2 linked regions of the Sus scrofa genome follow. Each later gene encodes a partner of the first gene's protein in a complex. Links are inferred from orthologs where the notes say so. Each region holds a gene or a part of one and is shown on either strand. Other genes may lie near its edges.

Region 1 (4,887 bases):
GGAGGGAGGAGTGAGTCAGCCGCGGGGGTGGGGGTGAGGCTGTGACTCACACATTCTCAATGCCTGAGCCCAGCCTGCCAGGACCTGGCCGGGCCTTGACCGTTTTCCAGGGAAGATCTTGAGGAGAAACTCCAGCATCCAGGACCCCAGCCCTGCCCCTCCTTTTCCAAAGGCCCTGGGTTCCAGCCTGAAGCCTTCATTTGCTCATCAATCTTTATTCGGTTCTTGGGGGGGGGTCTCCCTTCCCATGCTCCTGCCCCTCCCACCCCAGGACTCTGGGGGGCTCAATGTCCTGTTGAGAGAAGGTCCTGGTGCCCAGAGGCCTGGTCTGGAGGAAAAGCAGGGTAGCTGGTCCCTCTGTGGGCATGCTGGTCTTCCCTGTTGTGAGGAAGGAAGGAGGGCAGGGGCACTGTCCGCCAGCACTCAGAGCTCCATTATGTCCACGGCTGAGGTTGCAGGGGAGTGGGGGGTGGGGGTGTCCCCCCGCCTCAGCAGCCGGAGTGCCTCGGGGATCAGGTTCCCAGGGTAGCGCCAGAGAAGCAGCTCGGGGCAAGAGGTTCTGGAAGAGGAAATGACAATCAGAAGAGAGCTGAGGCTGGCCTGGCAGAGCCACACCCCACCTGGTCCAGGTTCCCAGGGGCTCCTAGGCTGCTGGCACCTTCTTAGGAGCCAAGATGGGAAACAGCAGAGGTTGGCTAGAAGCTAAAAATAGCAGGATGAGGCAGAGCCTGGAGACTGGCTCTGAGGATTGGGTATGATCCTCCAGAAGGCCCCGCTGGTGGACTGTGGATAGTGCCTACCTGAGTGGGGGCAGAGCTGGGGAGAGAGCCATGGGGGGGCTGCAGTACGGGTGGTCATTGTGCAAGCTCAGCTGAGAAAAATGGGTGGCCATGTTCTCCTCAGACAGGAACTGCTTGCGCAGGGGCTCCCTGGGGAGAGACGGGGAGGCAGGCAAGCTGGGATATTCAGAGGAGAAGTAGTATGATGGGGACCTGAGGTGACAGAGGTCTTGCTGGGAGTTCCTCCCTGCCCCCAAACTCACTGCTCCGCCTCCAGGCGCCGCTTGGTGCTCATGGGCACAGCTCCTCGGAGAGGGGAGCTGGGAAGAAAAGAGAGCCAGGAGCATCCCACCCTCTTGGCCCCATCCCAAGGATCTGCCCGCCTAAGCCAGCGCGTCAGCCAGGAGCGCCCAGCCCATCTCCGTCTCAGCTGACGCCCAAGTCACCCCCTCTCTCAAACCATCCAGAAGCCTGCCTGGGAGGTCTCAGTCCCCAGTCTCCGACCGTGGCTCAGCTCACGCCCAAGCCCTGCGGACAATCCCCACCGTGTGTCAGCCTGCAGACCAGCCTGAGGCCACAGCCAAAGCTCCTGGGCCCCCGAGCCAGGCCCGCCTAGGGCTCCCATACACACCTCGCGTCCAGGCCTCGGGGCACTCCCGAGGTGGCCCGCGGGTCGCGCTGGGCCCGACCCTGGGGGCCTCGCTCCAGGGGCTGCTGCAGGATCATTGGGGTTCGAGGTCCTGCGGTCTGAAGGGGTGGGATCCAGGCGCCGGGGAGGAGTCTCCGAGGGCGTGGCCCAACGCGTAGGGCGTGGCTTTAGGCGTACGCAGCGGCCAGAGTCTGCGCAGGCGCGGAAGGCTGACGGCACGCGGCTGGAAGGCGGGTCTGCTCTGCGGGGTGGGGGCGGGGGCCCGCCGTAGCGGGGTTGCGGTGGGTACCACTTAGTCTTGGGATCTTCTTGGCGGTCACCTGCGCTGCTGGGACTCGGGTTACGCAGAGGCCGTCTTCACGCCGGGCTGGCCAGCGGTGTTGGGGAGGTAGGGCGCCGCGAAGGGGAGCTGCTCCGGAGGCACTTCCGGACTCGTGAGGCTACGTGGAGCGCGGAGCTCTCTGGGACTTTTAGTTCTCGAGATGGACCGAGCGGTGCCGCCGGCGGTGCCTCTGGGTCAGGTGAGGCGTGCGTGGTGCGCGGTGCCTTCTGGGGTTTGTAGTCCACGCCCGGCTTCGAAGCGGCTGGCAAGCAGTCGTGCCCTGATCTCTGTTTCGCGTGGGCTCTTGGTGGGACTCGGATTCTGACCCGTGGGCGGGAGAATAACCCAGAAATACCTCAGGGGCCTTACATGAAAGTCAAAAGGTAGGGATTAAAAGGGCGGGAGTTCCCGCTGTGGCGCAGCAGGATCGGCGGCGTCTTGGGATTGCTGGGATCCCCTGCACAGTGGGTTAAGGACCCGGCGTTGCCGCATCTGTGGCTTAAGTCTCGACTCCGTCTGGGATCTGATCTCTGGCCCGGGAACTCCATATGCTGCCGCAGGACGGTCAAAAAAAAAAAAAAAGTACATTTTTCTGTTTGGGAGTAAGGCCACTTTTTAAAGCGGTTTCTCCTTGTGCGAAGTTCTTTGTTTACAGTAGCTTATCCATTCGGGACAAAAATCTCCCAGGAGCTCCATTCCGTAGTTGAGGAAACCTGCAGGAGAGTCTGGATGCTTGCTAAAAGTTCCACTAAGCATCAAGCCGCACCGCTCTCCTTTCTCGCCTCCTTCTCAGAGCCGTTCCTGGGACTGTATGGGCAGGTGCCCCCTGGTGGGCTGTTTCACAGGAGGACTGAGAGGTCTCGGGGGTGCGAGGCTGGGCTGGCAGCAGGGAAAGCGGGCAGGAGTCTGTGGATCCGAGGTCTTGGAAGCCCCAGACAGCCTTCATCCAGTCTCTCTCCACAGATGGAAGTATTTCAGGCCCTGCAGCGGCTGCACATGACCATCTTCTCCCAGAGTGTCTCACCTTGTGGGAAGTTCCTGGCGGCTGGCAACAATTATGGGCAGATAGCCATCTTTAGGTACACTTGCCCCCGCTCCCCACCACCCGTTAGCTCCTGGGGCTGACGCCTCCTGCTTCTGACTCTCAGGCCCCTCTTCCCTCTCCCTTCAGCTTGTCTGCTGCTCTGAGCTCCGAGGCCAAAGAGGAAAGTAAGAAGCCCATTGTGACTTTCCAAGGTGGGTGCCGCCATCGAGTCTGTCTTGGGGAACCCCAGGGTGGATGAGAGGAGCAGGATGGGGTCACTCAGGTTCTGCCCTTGCATTTAGCCCATGATGGGCCTGTCTACAGCATGGTGTCCACTGATCGACATCTGCTCAGTGCCGGGGATGGGGAGGTGAAGGCCTGGCTTTGGGCGGAGATCCTTAAGAAGGTGAGTGTGGAGCTGGGGGAAGGGTGAGCTGCCCAGACCCAGAGAGAGTCTTTGTCACCCAATGTTTCCTTCCCCGAAGGGCTGTAAGGAGCTGTGGCGTCGTCAGCCCCCATACAGGTGAGCCAGGGCCATGTGGGCAGAGGGCACATGGAGGTGAAGGTATGGCCTCATCAGAGCTGACGTGGTTTTTCCTCCCCCAGGACCAGCCTAGAAGTACCTGAGATCAATGCTTTACTTCTCGTCCCCAAGGTTCGAGCCCTTTATAATCAGGGCCCTCCCCTGCCCTGTTCTTGGGCCAGATTTGATCCTTACCCTCCCCTGCCCTGACGTGACACTGACCTCTGACCCCACTCGCCCATGCCCTGCCCGCGCCTTCTTCTGCAGGAGAATTCCCTCATCCTGGCGGGTGGAGACTGTCAGCTGCACACGATGGACCTTGAGACGGGGGCCTTCACCGTGAGCTGTGGAGCTGGAGTGGCTGGGGGGGAGGCAGCAGGCGGGGAGGGGGGTGGCCTCTTCCTGGATCTTGTCCTGACACTGCCCTCTCCCTGCAGCGGGCCCTCCGCGGCCACACAGACTACATCCACTGCCTGGCGCTGAGGGAGAGGAGCCCCGAGGTGCTCTCTGGTGGCGAGGATGGGGCCGTACGGCTCTGGGGTAAGAGTGTCTGGAGGGAGAGGTGGTGGTGAGGGAGGCTGGGGCAAGTGGGGTGCCTGCCTCTCACGGCTCTTCCCACACAGACCTCCGCACGGCCAGGGAGGTCCAGACGATCGAAGTCTACAAGCATGAGGTGAGGGCACACCCCACGCCCCGTCCTCCCTTCCTCCTTTCTGGGCATCCCACGTCTCCACCTCCGCCTCGCCTCTCCTCCCTCCCAGGAGTGCTCGAGGCCCCACAATGGGCGCTGGATCGGATGTTTGGCAACTGACTCAGACTGGATGGTGAGCCGGGCCAAGTGCAGGATGGGGTGGCAGCGCTGGGCTCTGTCCAGCTGAGGCTCTGTGGCTCACAGAGGCTGGGGGCCCCCACCTTTCTGCCCAGGTCTGTGGAGGTGGCCCGGCACTCACCCTCTGGCACCTTCGATCTTCCACACCCACCACCATCTTCCCCATGCGGGCACCGCAGAAGCACGTTACCTTCTACCAGGACCTGGTGAGGCCTTCTATCTCCCTTCTGCTAAAGCCCTGCCTGCTCCCCTCCAGCTCTGAACCCCGAGCCCCATCCCTGTCTCCCACAGATTCTGTCAGCTGGCCAGGGTCGCTGCGTCAACCAGTGGCAGCTGAGTGGGGAGCTCAAGGCTCAGGTGCCTGGCTCCTCCCCTGGGCTGCTGAGCCTCAGCCTCAACCAGCAACCAGCAGCCCCTGAGTGCAAGGTGGGTCCTGGGAAGGCCGGTGGGAATCATGGGAGGCCAGGGTGTGGAGGGCAGGTCAGCCACTCCCCTCTTGCCTCTAGGTTCTGACAGCTGCAGGCAACAGCTGCAGGGTGGACGTTTTCACCAATCTGGGCTACCGAGCTTTCTCCCTGTCCTTCTGAGCTGCAGCAGCGCCTCCACATCCATCTCCGGAGTCTGGAGTGTTTCTTCTTTTTTTTATACAAATAAAGTTTTAGGCTTTTTTTTTCATGCACTTTCCTCCCAAGAATGGAGGCCAGGTTGGTGTAATGATTTATATATTACTCTGATCTTGATACATAAATACCCACCCCCAC
Region 2 (4,923 bases), on another chromosome or scaffold:
AAAAAAAAAAAAAGAAAAGTCTCATAATGAGACATAATTCTCCCTCTTGCTCATCTCTGCCTCCTCCTCTCCAGTCAAGCAAGTCCCATGCCCCTGACTCTGTGATATTCATCTCCCTGTCCACCTACCTCACCATTTCTTCGCTTCACAGGCCCAGAAGGATGCGGATGCTGTGGACAAGGTGATGAAGGAGCTCGACGAGAATGGAGATGGGGAGGTGGACTTCCAGGAGTACGTGGTGCTGGTGGCTGCCCTCACAGTGGCCTGTAACAACTTCTTCTGGGAGAACAGTTGAGCAGATGGTCCCATTGGGCAGCGCCCTTCCCCTCCACCCTGCCATACCTGCCTCTTCACCCTGCTTCCCCTTCATCCCGCTGTTCCCTCCCCACCTTCTCACCCTTGCCTACCCTCCAACAGGGGCGCAAGAGTAGTGGGCCAGGCCTGCAACTCATCTTTCATTAAAGGCTCCTCTCTCACCAGCCACCAGCTGCTGTCTCTGGTCCTTCAGGGTTTGGAAATGGGTGGGGAAGTGAAGGCTGTTCACTCCCAAATTGCTTTATTTGGGGAGGGATCTTATTTTGGAGAAAGATCAAGGAACCATTACATCTTCCTACTTAAGGAATGCTCAAGGCCCAGAAAGGTAGAGGCTCAAGGTTCCAGCTGGAAGTGGCAGAGACATCAGCTTTTCAGCTTTGAAGCCAGAAAAATTGCCCTTCAACTTTCGAAGAATATGTGCTGAAGACCTACCCCGTGCTAGACATTGTGTGGAAACTGGGAATACAGCAGTGAGCAAAACAAACACAACCCTCACTGTCACATAGGTGAAGTCCAGTAAAGGGTGCCAAACCATTAAACATACACGTATAAATGCTAGGAAGGAAAATGAAAGGATCTCATGCGCCTTTAAGAGAGTGGAGGTGGAACTGAGGACATGTTCATTCACTCATTCTTCCAACATCTGAGCCTTTTTTTTTTTTTGGTCTTTTTTTGCTATTTCTTGGGCCGCTCCCACGGCATATGGAGGTTCCCAGGCTAGGGGTTGAATCAGAGGTGCAGCCACCTGGCCTACGCCAGAGCCACAGCAACGCTGGATCCGAGCCGCGTCTGCAACCTACACCACAGCTCACAGCAATGCCGGATCGTTAACCCACTGAGCAAGGCTAGGGATCGAACCCGCAACCTCATGGTTCCTAGTTGGGTTCCTTAACCACTGCGCCACGACGGGAACTCCCATCTGAGCCTTTTATTGTGTGCCCAGGTATAAGGAAAATGCCATATAGGTCTGCATCAAAATCCACATGGAAGCTAGATGGAGGGAGAAGACATTGGAATAGGTTGCGGGGACGCAAAGCTTCCCCCAAATAAGAATTTAACAATCTTCAGGCCAAATTGGGAAGGGAAGTGAAGAGAAAAATATGGACGGGCAGTGGTGCGTGGTGCAGGATCCAGTGAGGTGTGCTCCCTGCACTGGTCCCCAGGTGCGTTTATGGCAACCCACAACTCTAAAAGGGGCGTATGCTGAGGGGGGAGCCAGCGCAAATTACACCGGCCCGGTGGCTCTCGGAAGAAAGACCGAGTCATGTCGCGTAAAGAATTTTAGTCGGTCTGCCTTAGCTTTAGGGGTGGAGGGACCCGCAATGAAATACGAACTTCTTTTCTTAAGAGGACCAAATCCGCCTTGAACGTCCCAAATCACCAACTTGCAGCCGCCTTAAAACCCAAGAGAGAATATATTGGCCACGCCCCTTCCCGGGTGGGGCTCGGAGTGTAATACAGCCTAAAGCCCCGCCTTTTCCCTGGAGCTCCGCCTCATCCCCCGCGCAGGCGTAACACAAATTTTCCCGCCTCCTGCGCTGTGCGCAGACCTGACGTCTGACGTAATGGCGTCGACGCCATTTTAGCCGGTCCCATTCCGCACTGGGCGTGGCGGCCATTTTGTTTTGGAGAGCGAGCGGGAGTTGGCGGCAGCGGCTGTGGTGAAAGGCAGGAAAGGGCACGCCGGGCGAGCAGGCGAACCGGCCGACCGGACAGCCACCCAGCATCAACGAACTAACCTAGCATTCTACCGTTTAACACATACAACCAACCGCCCACCAAGTTAATCCGAGCCCCTCCACCGTCAACTCAGGTTCGGCCGGCCCCCGGCCAGCCTGTCGCAGCCGTGGTGGCAACCCCGGGAGGAGCACTGGCGTCCGTTTCCTTCGGTACGTTTCTGTGGTGAGAAGGAGGGCAAAAGTCTTGGGGAGCGCCCGGGCCCGGCGGTCGTGGAGTGGGAGCTGGTGGGATGTGGAAGCAGATTGGGTGTCGGGGAGTGGAGGCCCCGGGAGGGGGCGGAGCCCCTGAGAGGGAGGCGGGGGAGGCCCCGAGCTGGAAACTCGCTGCTGGAGGTTGGGATTTGGTAGGAATAGAAAGGAACATTGCTGGGCGGGTTGAGCAACGTTGGCGGTCCCGGACGGGGCTTTGAGATGGGAGTTCAGAGGAGGACTACACGGCTTTAGGGAACGTCAGAATGCACTGGCAGCTGTAGAGTTAAATTTTGTGGCGTGCTCTCTGGGATCGAACTCCCAGGTGAACGCCCATTTAGGAAACCTTTCCTACTCCATCCCTCCCCCACGTCCCCAGTCCCTTGCTAAGGTTCCTGCAAGACTTTGGAGTTGAAAGCCAATTTGTAAACTGGTAAACCTGTATCATCTCTCTAGAGCAGTGGTTCTGAATTTTGGCTGCACATGAGAAGCAGCAAGTTAGACACCACCCCCCCTCCCCGCACCACCTTCTAATTGCTGATCCCCAGACCTCACCAGCAGAGATTGTGCTTTAAATGGTTTGGGCCGAAGCTTCTGTATTTTGTGTCTGTCTTTGTTGTTGTTTTGTCTTTTTAGGGCCGCATATATAGAAGTTCCAAGGCTAGAGGTCGAATTGGAGCTGTAGCTGCCGGCCTAGACCACAACCCACAGCAACGCTAGATCCTTAACCCACTGTGCGAGGCTAGGGGTCCAACCCACATCCTCAAGGATGCTAGTTGGGTTTGTGACCGCGGAGCCATGAAGGGAACTCCTGTTGTTGTTTTTTAAAGCTCCTTGCAGCCAAGGTAGAGAAGGACCGCTCTAGATGAAAAGCCAAACACTTTCTTTGGCTAGGTCTAGGTCTGCCATTTTTGGAGGCTTGGGCAGGTATTTTCTGTCATGTGGCCTTGAAGTTTATTAATTCCAGATAACTTAGCTTCTAAATGTAAGCACCTGAAATGAGTTTTGGTGTGATCTTCAGTAGTCATTGAGACAGGCCTATTCATTCATTTTTGGTTTGGGCCTTTGGCCCTGTTGAAATGAGGTAGTCATCATTCTGATTTGCTCACTTTGCCCATTGTCTTTTGTAGATTCTCGGGATTTGAAGATGGCTGCACAGTCAGCACCGAAAGTTGTGCTAAAAAGCACCACCAAGATGTCTCTAAATGAGCGGTGAGGCAGCCAACAGCAACTTCAGCTCGTTCATAAGAAAACATTACTTAAGTTGGCCCTGGGTCCAATGCACAAAAACCAGTTTTAAGCTAAATACCAACAGAAGGCTACAGACCTCTGTTCTTAGTAGCATCTTATGTGGTACACAAAACAAATTGGGCGGTTGTTTCAAAACCACTTATCAGTAGATTTTTATGTTAAGCTGTCTGAAATATTTCTCTGGTGGGATGTATTTTAAAAGACTCCTCACACCCTCCATTTTCTTCACATTTTTTTTACATTGATACAGGGGTGGTGCAGCTTGGTAGCATGGAACCCCGGCTGCAGTAGGCTTGCTGCCCAGTCCAAGGCCAGCAGTGTTGTGTCTGGCCTGTAAGAGGCAGGTAGCAAGCTATGAATATGTCCAAAGGCCCTTGAATGTCATTCTTGGACCTTGTAAGAGGCACTTGCTTTGCTCCATTTCACTTTCTTTCCATTCTGCTTTTAGTTTGTTTTTGTTTTGGATTCTTTTGCGCTTAAGTGTTCTTCTCTTTCATTCCGTTAAATTCGACAGGAATAATAGAAGAGTGTCTTCACAAGAGCCTCAATGATTGAACTAATCTTAACTTTTCAGAAGTAATCAACTTGGAGTCAGAAAAAGTAATCATTTGAAACTAAGAAAAGTTAAGGTATTTAAAGGCACTTTCTGTCTCTGAGGGCCTTGTTCCTTGAGTGCCTTTGACAAATGATTTTATTAAGTTGCTGTTAAACATAAGATTTACTTGTGTTTGTCTGCCTTTTCTGAAGCATATGTGCTTCTTAGGGCACGTGGTACACTAATTCTTCATATTCACATGTTACTGCGTGAACCACTTATGAAAAAAATGTGATATACTCCTGTAATTTATGTGGATGTATCATTTCCATAGGCTTTGAAGGTGCTCTAGTCCGTCCTTATATACGCCCTTAAAATGCACCCTCAGGTCCCAAAGGATTTGGCTTGCTTTGTCTGTCTTTGAAACTACATCTTCTGTCTCTTGTCATCATATCTGCTTATTGCGTGTTTTTCATGCTTTCTATCTCTAAAAGCCGTTACCTGAGCCCTTGTTATCACTTTTGATTGAATGTGCTACACTTAGCTGCATTTCTGAGTTTCTGATTCTTGCAAGTTTGTGGAAGCGGAGGAGTCTTTAACCCACATCAGCCTTGATCTAAGTGTACCGCTTTACTTAAAGTTCGTGGGATCTGGAGCTCCTGGTCTAGCAAGCCATGAAAATGCCAGTAAATGTTTTGTAATAAAGCTTTTATTTAAACATCCATTTTGTTCGACCTTGAAGCTTTACTAATATGCTGAAGAACAAACAACCGATGCCAGTGAATATTCGGGCTTCGATGCAGCAACAACAGCAGCTAGCCAGTGCCAGAAACAGAAGACTGGCCCAGCAGATGGAGAATAGACCCTCTGTCCAGGCAGCATTAAAACTTAAGC

Evidence for each region.
Region 2: THOC6 (region 1) and CHTOP share a complex: the UniProt entries of both Homo sapiens proteins name them as parts of the transcription/export (TREX) complex. The link is inferred for Sus scrofa from reciprocal best matches to the Homo sapiens genes THOC6 and CHTOP.

What each region holds. Positions count from the first base shown.
Region 1 is NC_010445.4:39,161,360-39,166,246, reverse strand, and holds THOC6 (THO complex subunit 6 homolog), read left to right. Parts: upstream 1-1,615; 5' UTR 1,616-1,910; coding exon 1,911-1,949; intron 1,950-1,974; exon of another isoform or gene 1,975-2,133; intron 2,134-2,713; coding exon 2,714-2,829; intron 2,830-2,921; coding exon 2,922-2,986; intron 2,987-3,076; coding exon 3,077-3,180; intron 3,181-3,259; coding exon 3,260-3,297; intron 3,298-3,380; coding exon 3,381-3,429; intron 3,430-3,564; coding exon 3,565-3,636; intron 3,637-3,734; coding exon 3,735-3,837; intron 3,838-3,920; coding exon 3,921-3,970; intron 3,971-4,058; coding exon 4,059-4,121; intron 4,122-4,221; coding exon 4,222-4,332; intron 4,333-4,417; coding exon 4,418-4,552; intron 4,553-4,632; coding exon 4,633-4,713; 3' UTR 4,714-4,805; downstream 4,806-4,887. Other genes in the region: HCFC1R1 (host cell factor C1 regulator 1), read right to left, coding at 424-559, 801-929, 1,043-1,099, 1,411-1,505. UniProt on the Homo sapiens protein: Component of the THO subcomplex of the TREX complex which is thought to couple mRNA transcription, processing and nuclear export, and which specifically associates with spliced mRNA and not with unspliced pre-mRNA.
Region 2 is NC_010446.5:96,002,586-96,007,508, reverse strand, and holds the start of CHTOP (chromatin target of PRMT1 protein), read left to right. Parts: upstream 1-1,894; 5' UTR 1,895-2,204; intron 2,205-3,373; 5' UTR 3,374-3,390; coding exon 3,391-3,455; intron 3,456-4,771; coding exon 4,772-4,923. Other genes in the region: S100A13 (protein S100-A13), read right to left, coding at 129-136; S100A1 (protein S100-A1), read left to right, coding at 152-295. UniProt on the Homo sapiens protein: Plays an important role in the ligand-dependent activation of estrogen receptor target genes. May play a role in the silencing of fetal globin genes.